3 linked regions of the Arabidopsis thaliana genome follow. The protein of the gene in region 3 interacts with the protein of the main gene of each other region in a pairwise test. Each region holds a gene or a part of one and is shown on either strand. Other genes may lie near its edges. The genes, in order: RAC6, SCAR2 and SPK1.

Region 1 (3,754 bases), 7.8 Mb from region 3:
ATAATCGCTTACTATTCTCGTAGTTTCAGAAAGCAAAAGTCTTTTTTCTAGTTGAAAAACCAAAGAGAGAGAGAGTCAGAGAGCTCAAAGTTCATCCAAAGTTAATCGAGAGCAAGTTTCATTCCTCTCAACAAAGTTCGTCCAAGGTTTCTCGTAGTCACTAGCCGAACTCTGCTTTTAAGATTGGTAAGAATTCTTAGATGTTTCCTTACTTTTCTACGACTTATGTTGTTGATCGAAACACTTTCATGGTCTATTCTTCTCACTAAAGTTTCGTCAGTTTCAGTTTTACGCATCATACTATTTTCACTTTGTCTAAACTCACATCTTCCTCTGTTTTCTTTTTCGAGTGTTCTTGCAGGTTTCTCTCCAAGCAAATAGCTAGAAATGGAAGGCTCATCAAGCTTCACTACAACCAACGCAAAGAAAGAAAAACAGAGAGCGTTCACCCAATTTCCCCGTGATTTCATTATATACTATCATCGTAATCAAGAACTCTGCTTTGAGACTCTGCTTTAGGGTTTGGTAAGAATCTGATGTTTCTCCTTTTTGTTTGACGAATTGAGCCGTGTATTTTCTGAAACATCTTGATTTTGGGAATTGTAGTCATAATGTTAAAGAGAGTTATTATAGTGTAATTTATCTTTGAGAAATTTCTGCCATCTAAACTGTTTCTGACAATTACAGGTGAGAGAGAGAAGAGATAAATGATCCGTCACAGTCACGACAAACGATCCACGGCAACCTTTGGCGGTGATAGCGGGCTTGTTGCGCCGGGGTATCATCTTGGACTTCCAGTTGACTACTCGCCGTGATGTTCAGGGTTAGTTTCATCAATGCTCTTCTTATATGTCTCTCTCAGTCGTTACTCTGTTAAAAGCCATATAATAAATCGTAGACTTGGTGAGTTATTTGGTCGGATTTTATAGATTAACTCTCTCATTCATCCATATGTAGCTCGTGTATTTATGATTTTTATGATTTTTTGTCATTGCATATTTTCAAACTTGTTAGTAATTTTGGAATGTTGATTTGATAAAACTGATTCCAACTCCACGAATCCTGGTTTATCAAAACTGTGATTGTATCATCGTACACACATCAAATAAAAACTTTTACTTTGAACATTTTCAAATGCTAACTTTTTCCGACAAATTAATTACATGGTTTGTGAAAGATTCCCAACTCTTAACGTTTTTGTTCTCGCTGTCGCAGGTTTTCTTATCAAGGAAGGTTACGTTGACCCGAATAAGTTCATTAGCATAGACATCTTTCCTCACGAAAGGCAAATATGACCAATGTTGACATTTTACATACTCGGTAAAATATTTGTTAGTTGAGATTATTGCAATTTTTGGCAGAAAATATTACCACACTTTGTTGACATACAAATAAGTTCAGGTTTGGTCCATACACCACATTCTCACTAGCCAACATGCAAATTCAACTAACCACATTCAATATCATCAAACATCCTTGAAATTTTAACATAAATTTGGCGAGTATGCGGAAGAACTAGTGCATTACAACTTTATTGTACCGCAATTGGCTGATTGGTTTCATAAATATTGAATCATAACTTAGAGATTTTTTCACATTTGGTGAGCATCCGGAAAAACTAGTAAAAAAATGAATTAGAATAGTAAAACAAATCGTACTAGAAATTTTACAGACAGTTAAAAACACGTATAATTTTAGCCAGTGTTAATTTTTCTTATTTGCATTTTAAACAACAAAGACAAAATACATTATGTGCAACTCCTTTATTTTACTTTTTTGTATACAAGATAAATAAATTAATTTGAATATACACTAAAAAATCAAACAGAAAAAAGAAGAAGAAGTAAAATAGTAATTATTTAAAAGACAACAGAAGAAGTAAAAAAAGTAAAAAGATTGCAAAACAGTCGGAAGGTTGAATGGCTGAGATTAATCGAACGCTTCAATGGCAATTATTTCCGGCCATCACTTTCTTCTCTACTTCTTTCTTTCTCTCTCTAGTTGTTGTTCTCTCTCTCTCTCGCATCCTCCAATTCATCGTCCTCACGTTCCCTTTTGTTTATTCATCTTCCTTCCTTCTTCACATTTCTGATTTTCTCTATTTGGGGGGTTTGTTTCCACATTATACATATCTAGGGTTTTGAGATGGTTAATTGAAAGATAATGGTCGAAGTTTCGGAGGAATTGGCTTCACATTGTGGGTGTTTCTGGCTTCCTCAGGTTTAAATCTGAGGTTGATCTCTTTTGTTTTTTGGTAAATTGTGACATATTTTGGCTCGAAGAAGAAGAAGAAGAGGCAATGAGCGCATCAAGGTTCATAAAGTGCGTCACCGTTGGTGATGGAGCTGTTGGTAAAACCTGTTTGCTGATTTCTTATACCAGCAACACCTTTCCCACGGTATTCATCAATCATTCTCCCTCCTTTTTTTGATATCTGATTCATTTGATTCTGATTGTGCCATATATGAATTGGGATCCATACATACTAAAAATGTTGTATACATTTCCATTGGAACAGGATTATGTTCCGACTGTTTTCGATAACTTTAGTGCAAATGTGGTTGTTAATGGAGCCACGGTGAATCTTGGATTGTGGGATACTGCAGGTAATGAATGATGATCCAATTCATAATCCTTGGTGAGAGAGCTTTCCTTGATGAATCGGTCGAAATTATGTTTTTGGTTTATGCAGGGCAAGAGGACTATAACAGATTAAGACCTTTGAGTTACCGTGGTGCTGATGTTTTCATTCTTGCCTTCTCTCTCATTAGTAAGGCTAGTTATGAGAATGTTTCCAAGAAGGTCAGTTTCGTCCGAACTGGTCGACTATTTAACAATTGAGAGTTCCAAATTTTGATGCTTCTTTTCTTTTACAGTGGATTCCTGAGTTGAAGCACTATGCTCCTGGTGTCCCAATTGTCCTTGTTGGAACCAAACTAGGTTACTTCCTCCTCTCACATTTGTCCTTGTTTATGCATTTATTTATATATATGTCTGATTCCCATGCTTACACTGCCATTTTCCTTTTCACTTTATTAAGCTGCTCTGGTATAATATATCATGACATTAGTGGACATAAAACTTCACCTTCTCTTGATTGTGGTTAAAACTTGTACATGTTCAAGATGTATTCGTTAGGTGAAACTGAGGGTAGTTTTCAGAGAATATCATTGGTCAACAGGCTTCTTCTTGTATCTTGCACTTCTTGTGATAAAGCAACCATATCCTATAACACACGCCTTTAAGCATCCTCCAATGAAATAGCTACTGTATAGCAAGTGTATACCTTTATAAAAGACACTTGCAAGATCTTCAGTCAACTCATGATCCTGGCCTTTTTGATTGTCTAACCTTGGTTGTTGTCAGATCTTCGAGATGACAAACAGTTTTTCATCGACCATCCTGGTGCTGTCCCTATTACCACTGTTCAGGTAAGAATACAGTTATTTCCTCAGTGCAATTTTATCAGCTTTACCACCGTTAAGCATTTTCCCTCTCTGCATGGAAGGGAGAGGAGCTGAAGAAGCTAATTGGAGCGCCAGCTTACATCGAGTGCAGTTCAAAATCACAAGAGGTAAACGAATAAAAGACATCTCATGAATCATCTTTTCGGTGTTGGATTCTTCATCTTTTGATGAAAACAATGTGACTATAACTGCAGAACGTGAAGGGCGTGTTTGATGCAGCGATCAGAGTGGTCCTTCAACCTCCAAAGCAGAAGAAAAAGAAGAACAAAGCACAAAAGGCCTGCTCC
Region 2 (3,754 bases), on a different chromosome or scaffold from region 3:
TTCTCCATGTAGCTTTCCCCTGATTTTGAAATAAGGGAACACCCATCTAGCTTTCTGGTTTTCAACTTCACAACGCGCGCTGGATCTGAATGATGAGCCTCTAAATGCTCCTCCAAAAACAATTCATGCAATCTGTGCCAGTTGAATAATTGAAACCAGCCATTTTTAGTCACAGTCAGATACCAATATAGGAACTACATATATATCATAACAGAAATGACAAACACACAAGACATAAAATAGATAATACTCACTTGGCATGTGATGATAATGCATTTTCAGGTGTCCCTCCATTCCTCCACTGAGATGCTCTCCTCTACAAGAGAATAGAAGGAAAACTATGAGAATCACAAAATGGAAGGTAAGATTACACATTCAAAACACCATGAGCATAAGAAAATCTACTATTCAGAAAATCTACCATGTAATGGAAACCAAAATATAACCAAGAAGGATCACACTGCAACCCATAAGCTACAACCTGAACTAAGAAGCTAGTACCTTTGCTTTCTGTGATTTTTTCTCTCTCTGAATATCATCCCATGATTCTTCATATGAAGACGTTTCAAGCCTAACAAACGATGGATCGGTGTAGCGTTTCAAACAAGCCCCAGCTCCGGAAATATCAAACCTAATCAAAACCATCAGAAGATGTTACATATATCCTTCTCTAACAAACGACTAAAGAAGAAGTCCTATCAAACAAGGCTAAATCATACTTGTCCAGAAGAAATAGCCTTGGAGGACCTCGACATTCCTCATAAGAATCCATCACACAACGAGGTAAGTCACCACTTGTAACCACACTCTGTTCCAATTGTAGATTCGGATGCCATTCCACACCTGAAATAGAGTCACAGAATCATGTTGAAATAATCCAACATCATAGTAGCTGACCAGATCATGAATGTTCATAGCAATCTAACCTTTGTTAGAGAAAAACGGCGAATGATCGGTTTGACACAGTAATGCCTTCTCTATAGAAGGAAACTCTGCTTCCAACTGTTGCACACGAGCCATTAAACCATGGCTTCTAGAAGCAGTAGCCATTACTTCTTCGTGCAAGTCATGAAACATCTCAGCAGCAAACCTTCATCACAAATTACATGAATTTAAAGACAATTCCATCAAAAAATCAAAACTTTTTCCACTTCCACAACCAAATCCAGATTCATCAAAATTGTCGCTTTACAACAACGGATTCCAAAACTTCGAATTCGATGCGCTTAGAGATCAATTAGAGAAATTTCGATTGGAGAGAAACTTACTCAGCGAGATCACCGAGTTGACGCAAAATGCCAACGAGACCAGCCATAGCGACTCCTTCAAGCAGAGCTTCAGGGTCATCTTTATCAGCAGCTTGATACAGATCCGGATCTGCTAATCCATACTCGTTACGAGATTGGTACCTCGTCAACGGCATTGTTTGAGCTTCTCTGTCTGATCAGCTCGCTGATACTTTTGTTCAAATTCTAAAGGTAAGAACTTTAGAAAGAAGAAGACTAGAAAAGCTTCTCTGTCTTCATTTAAGTAGTGACCGACCACCATTAGATATGTGACGACATCACTTAGCTGGAAACTAAAACGGACTTTCTGTGGATTCAAGACGGCGGATATAGGTAGGGGCAAAGAGAGAGAGAGAGAGTCTGAGAACCTCAACGCTAAAAGACTTTTTAAGAAAACATTTCTTTTTCTATTTTTCGATAGCCAGAAATACTTAAAAAATTGTTACTTTTAGTGAAAAATTCTTACAAAACCAAAACCTTGTTGCAATAAAACCTGCATTTAAGACCAAACCCCTCGGGAACCTGATAGTTTCAGGCTTGAGGTTTGTCCAATTGTGATCCCTATCGAAACCAAACACAATCTAATTAAAGTCATTTTTGAGAAACGGATGAGAGTTAATTGAAAGATTAAAAAGGGAGCGAAGAGTCTATTTGAGTGTCACTGTTACTTCTCTGCAGGAATATTAAAAGACGTTGAGTTTCGACTACAGCCTACAGGTATGATTCGACTTCTCTCTTCTCACCTTAAAGTTTCTGTCTTTATATTCTTCTTCGCTCGTTGTAAAGCAATTCTTATTTGAGCTCCAAGTTTGAGATTTTTTTGTTTTATCTTGAAATCGTTTTTGGTTGATGTTGTTGTGAGTTTCAGGTTTAGACATGTCTTATATTCCACCACATAAGAGGCATTCGAAGGATCCGACAAAGCCTACCCCTGTTCCAGATTCTCTTGTTACAAAATTCAAGAAGAACCTTGACTTTAAGAGTAGCACTAGCAGTGTTAAACGCAACAAGATTATCTATTCAGGAGATTCCATTTCCAAATGGTTTCTTGTTGGTTCAAATGGAATTGAGGACGATGTTCCTTCGTATGTTAAGTTTGTGCCCTTGTCCTCAGATTCTGTCGAGTGTAGAAAAGGAGAAAAGCCTTCAATACTGATGAACAACAATGTCCAAAATGGTAAGAAACTATTAGTAGACTTTGGCTATGTGTTTGACAAAATGAATATCATCTAGATGCTGAAATAAACAATACTATTAACTATTTTGTTTGTGCTATTATCGTTTTTGCCAAAAGAAGATGCATTGTATCTATGTTGAGTATGGTTTTTTATATGTTTATATTCAGTGAATATGAATATTGGAGAGAGGAAGGATGAGAGAACTCAGTGGCTATTAGTAGCTGAGAAGGTTATGGAGGATCTTGTGTTGGCATATGAGCGAGTTAAGACTGAAATGAAGGAGCATCATCATGTATCGAGACTGGTTGCTCGGTTTGGTAAAATTTTCTTCTATGGGTAAGCGATTCACCGTCTGATCTCACATTTTGCTGTTTTCAGGAATGGGTTTATATTTTTTCTAACATATACAACTTTAAACCAGGAGTCAAGCTGGTCCTGTGGCTGAATGTTCACTAAAAAACTTGAATAAGATGTTCTCTACTGATCTCCCAATGTCTTACTTACAACACATAAAATCTAATGTTGTACCAAGCCATGGATTCTCTATTGATAAGGAGAAGGAAACATACACTGTGAAGGTACTCGTTTCATTTTCTTAGATTTAGATCTATACTTCGAATGTCATTTGAATGTGCTAATTTGGGTTTGGCTTCTATTTTTAGGTATCGCATTATTCTCGTCCTAATGCAACCATCAACTGTAAATGTACCCGTAAGGAAGATGGACGGCTCAGTATGTACAAGGCAAGTCTCGAGTTTTATGTGTGTAGTGACTACAACCAATAGTAAAATCTCTTCTTTATTGTTCTCGGACTAGCAAGAAAAACAAACAAGAATTTGATAGATGTCACATTTTTACTTGGTCTTCCTTTAATATCTAACTTTGAATCTTGAGTTTTGCTTTTATATAGGTCGACCTTAATCCTGTAAGGCATTTGGTTGTTGATGTGTCATGCATTGATAAGAATCTCGACATGAGACTAACGCTCACCGCTAAGAGGGAAATAACGTATCTCAGTGTAAGTTCAAGTTTGGTATATATATTTTACAATATATGGATAAATAATATGCTCTTCTTAGACTTAGGTTGTGTGATCTTTCTTTGATCGGCAGGATAAAGAGATAGGTGACATTAAAGCGCTATTGGAATCAGCAACTGTTGATCCAAATGTAAAAGGCGGTTTAAGGTGGCCGTTTGGTAAAGCTTTATCTGAAGATGGATACAAAGAATTTGAAGTTTGTCACGTTAGAGCTACTATCTACAAAAATAAAACTCTAAGGCTTAGGGTAA
Region 3 (3,754 bases):
TTAGCCTTAATTCTGTTGACTTGTTGTGATGCTGATCCTCCCAAGGTTCGTCAGAACCCTAAGGATGTGGCTAGAGGCACTGTGTGTATGTGTCTACCCCTACATTTACTTTTACTATTTTTATTTGTCACAACCCCAACAATGGCTTTATGTACCAAATGCAGTTACAGTGAATGAGATTGAAGCTCTTTACGAACTGTTCAAGAGCATTAGCAAAAACGGGCTTATCGACAAGGTATGCAAGAATCCATAGTCGGACACGAGTACTATATCTCTCTGTTCCTCTACATTCACTAGGATCCTTTCAAATATATTGCAGGAACAATTTCAATTGGTACTATTCAAAATGAACACAACGAGAAGCCTTTTTGCTGATAGGGTAAATTAGATAGACTTGTAACTCACTTATATGAGTTTCCTTGCTGTACACTCATACTTCAAGCTTTGCAGGTGTTTGACTTGTTTGATACCAAGAATACTGGGATTCTAGATTTTGAAGCCTTTGCTCGTTCACTTTCGGTCTTTCACCCTAATGCTAAATTTGAGGATAAGATTGAGTGTAAGTGGTCGAGAGAGACTTGACCTTCTTTTTTTTTGTCATATCCAAACCTTGGATCAAGCTCATCTTTTGTCTCTGCAGTCTCTTTCAAGCTGTATGATCTGAATCAGCAAGGTTATATAAAGAGACAGGAGGTGAAGCAAATGGTTGTGCGGACTCTAGCTGAATCTGGCATGAACCTTTCTGATCATGTGATTGAGAGCATCATAGACAAGGTGGGTTTGGTTGATCTCCTCCATTGACACTAACTAGGATTCTCATATTTAATCTTTGACAAGAGATGTAAAAACTGATTGGTGTGTGTAGACATTTGAAGAAGCTGATACTAAACTGGACGGGAAGATTGATAAGGAAGAGTGGAGGAGTCTTGTGTTGCGCCACCCCTCTCTGTTACAGAACATGAGCCTTCAACATCTCAAGTAAGCTAGCCATGTTATTTGCCTTATTATCTTCTTCGTGCGGGACTAACATGTTTTTGTATGTTGTGTTTTGTGTAGAGACGTAACAAAGACGTTTCCAAATTTTGTATTTCACACTATAGTGACAGACACTCCTAGTGAGCTGGATGGATGATCAGGGATGTGAAGAAAGACCAAAACCCTTTACAAGATCATTCATACTTGATTCTTATCTTCTTCTCCATTACTCTATTACAACCCTCCTCTTTATTTTTAATAAATACGTTCTGAAAGCAGCATTACCTCACATGTTTGTGTATCCGCAAACTTGTTCGGTTTATCTTATCTGTTGGAGTGTGCAAATTGATTCTTTTACTCGGCATTAGTTTTATTTTGTTGCTTCTTCTTTCTTTCTATCTAAATTTGTTAGTTGGAGTAAAATCCGGACAACCATATTTTACAGGGAACCCAAATGGCGAGATAGTTTTAACATGAGAAAGGAAAGATTCATGTGAATGAGAAACTGGTTAACTTGAATCTCATAGATCATTGTATACTTGGACATTTTCCCAAGATTAGAACAAACAATACTAGATCTCTCGAAAATATCTTCATCACAGTTGCAAAGAGCCGTGGAGAACCCAACTCTTGAGCTCAAAATTGTATCAGCTAGTGACGTCAACCATATCGAATATGTCACGGACAAAATGGACGTATACGCCGTCGTTTCAATCAAAGACAACACAACTCAACAGCAACAAGCGGCCAAAACTCCCATTGATATATAACGGAGGTTCTAATCCGACTTGGAATCACACACCGTTAAGTTCTCCGTCAACGAGAGAGAAGCCACGAAGCCCAATAATTATGTTAACCAGTGTAACGTTTTTTCACCCACTTAATTTTTTGGCTGGGTCTGCCTAACATTCTAGGCACAAGTTAAAGAGGTGATCAATTTTTAGAAATTATAACCCTAATGCTAACATGAATGATATATAAAAAGGCCGCAATGGTAGACTATAATGGCAACAACTCTGAAACAATGGCTAAAGATTGGGATTCACCGATTCATAGATACCAAAGGTAACTATGAACTCGTTTACGGTTTATCTCAACATGAATCCGTAGAAACAAATCAACAATCCTAATTTCAATAAAGTGTGACAACTAAATTCTTTAGCCGTATACTTTCTAATTCCATTTTGTTTGGTATAATGAGAATTGGAATGACTTTTGGTGAAAATGGTTACTACTTACTCCAATTCTTTAAGTTGGTTCAGGTGAGGTATCATCGTCTTTGGTCGTCCCAATGATTGACTCTTTTGTTATTTAAAAAGAAAAAAGGGACAGTAGAGTTGGACTCTTGTTGGACTTACAGCTCCAGCTCGACTTTTGCTTTCCTCTTGAGTAATCTTCACTTTTTCTCCCAACTGCTTCCTCTCACGGATCTCTTCCTCTCTGCGTAAAGACAAAGATTCATCCTCCTCTCCTCCTTTAGCTCCCCCACTCAGATCTACTTACTACTCCAACAATGTCCTTTTCCCATTTCTAGGTTTTCACAAATCCCCAATTCTCTCTAATGGCGTAGTAGTACCTCACATTGTATTAGATCTATCTCAATGGAGAACAACAATCTTGGTCTTCGATTTCGTAAGCTACCTCGTCAGCCTCTTGCTCTCCCTAAGCTCGATCCTTTGGTAATTAAACTCTCCTCAACCTTTATTCGCGTTTTCTCTCTCTTTTCGTTAATGTGTTTCTTCTCTTTTGTTTCAGCTTGATGAGAATCTGGAACAATGGCCACATTTGAATCAATTGGTTCAATGTTATGGCACTGAATGGGTTAAAGATGTTAACAAATACGGTCACTATGAAAATATTCGACCTGATTCTTTCCAGACTCAGATTTTTGAAGGACCTGATACTGATACTGAGACTGGTAACTATGATGCATTGTTTATTTTTATTTTTTTTGCTTTTGTCAATTATTGTACATCAATTAACTCTCTGCTTCTTCAGAGATTCGTCTTGCTAGTGCCAGGAGTGCAACTATTGAGGAGGATGTTGCCAGTATTTCCGGGAGGCCGTTTTCTGATCCTGGATCCTCTAAGGTGTCTTCTTTTACTCACTTCATTGCTCTGTTATATATTTCTCATCCTTTGGTTCTTACTTTGAAGGTGTTGCTTTTTTTTTTTTTTTTCAGCATTTTGGGCAACCTCCTTTACCTGCTTATGAACCAGCTTTTGACTGGGAAAATGAAAGAGCTATGATTTTTGGTCAGAGAACTCCTGAATCTCCTGCAGCTAGCTATTCCAGGTTTTTTTTTTTTTGCATGTCACTATGCTTTACCTGATCTTATTATCTTTGTCTGATTTGTACTTCTGTTCCTCTTTATTATCTTCACAGTGGATTGAAGATCTCTGTCAGAGTTTTGTCTCTAGCTTTTCAGTCTGGCTTAGTTGGTGAGGATTCTGACTAACTGCTGTCTATTTTCTGTAATTTTAGTTATTTCAACTTCTTTAAGTTCCTTCTTTATTTCTCTTGCATCCCTGCAGAACCATTTTTTGGCTCGATTGCATTGTACAATCAAGAGAGGAAGGAGAAACTCTCTGAGGATTTTTATTTCCAGATTCAGCCGACGGAAATGCAGGATGTAAGTAACTGATTAGAGCCAACTGTCCTCTTTTTGCCTCTTCCCTTCTCATGATTATATAAAAGGTGATTTCAGTTTTTTCTCACGTCATTTTTGCGAAATTGCCGCCCCTTGTACATTTTCTTGCAGGCTAAACTTTCATCTGAA

What was found.
Region 1: the proteins of SPK1 (region 3) and RAC6 interact in a two-hybrid assay, tested with the Arabidopsis thaliana proteins (one study listed by BioGRID).
Region 2: the proteins of SPK1 (region 3) and SCAR2 interact in binary tests that used the Arabidopsis thaliana proteins (3 or more experiments, as listed by UniProt).

Annotation. Positions count from the first base shown.
Region 1 is NC_003075.7:17,024,060-17,027,813, reverse strand, and holds the start of RAC6 (RAC-like 6), read left to right. Parts: upstream 1-1,947; 5' UTR 1,948-2,299; coding exon 2,300-2,398; intron 2,399-2,518; coding exon 2,519-2,606; intron 2,607-2,692; coding exon 2,693-2,802; intron 2,803-2,876; coding exon 2,877-2,940; intron 2,941-3,366; coding exon 3,367-3,431; intron 3,432-3,508; coding exon 3,509-3,574; intron 3,575-3,661; coding exon 3,662-3,754. UniProt on the Arabidopsis thaliana protein: May be involved in cell polarity control during the actin-dependent tip growth of pollen tubes.
Region 2 is NC_003071.7:16,093,219-16,096,972, reverse strand, and holds the start of SCAR2 (SCAR homolog 2), read right to left. Parts: upstream 1,739-3,754; 5' UTR 1,424-1,738; coding exon 1,269-1,423; intron 1,091-1,268; coding exon 927-1,090; intron 844-926; coding exon 720-843; intron 632-719; coding exon 502-631; intron 317-501; coding exon 255-316; intron 133-254; coding exon 1-132. Other genes in the region: AT2G38430 (uncharacterized protein), read left to right, coding at 2,163-2,463, 2,632-2,800, 2,886-3,042, 3,127-3,207, 3,375-3,482, 3,577-3,754.
Region 3 is NC_003075.7:9,239,883-9,243,636, reverse strand, and holds the start of SPK1 (guanyl-nucleotide exchange factors;GTPase binding;GTP binding protein), read left to right. Parts: upstream 1-2,007; 5' UTR 2,008-2,040; intron 2,041-2,237; 5' UTR 2,238-2,576; coding exon 2,577-2,654; intron 2,655-2,730; coding exon 2,731-2,893; intron 2,894-2,973; coding exon 2,974-3,065; intron 3,066-3,157; coding exon 3,158-3,270; intron 3,271-3,360; coding exon 3,361-3,416; intron 3,417-3,509; coding exon 3,510-3,607; intron 3,608-3,736; coding exon 3,737-3,754. Other genes in the region: CBL6 (calcineurin B-like protein 6), read left to right, coding at 1-85, 165-235, 320-379, 451-559, 641-774, 866-978, 1,057-1,132. UniProt on the Arabidopsis thaliana protein: Guanine nucleotide exchange factor (GEF) for Rho and Rac. GEF proteins activate small GTPases by exchanging bound GDP for free GTP. Controls actin polymerization via the two heteromeric complexes WAVE and actin-related protein (ARP) 2/3.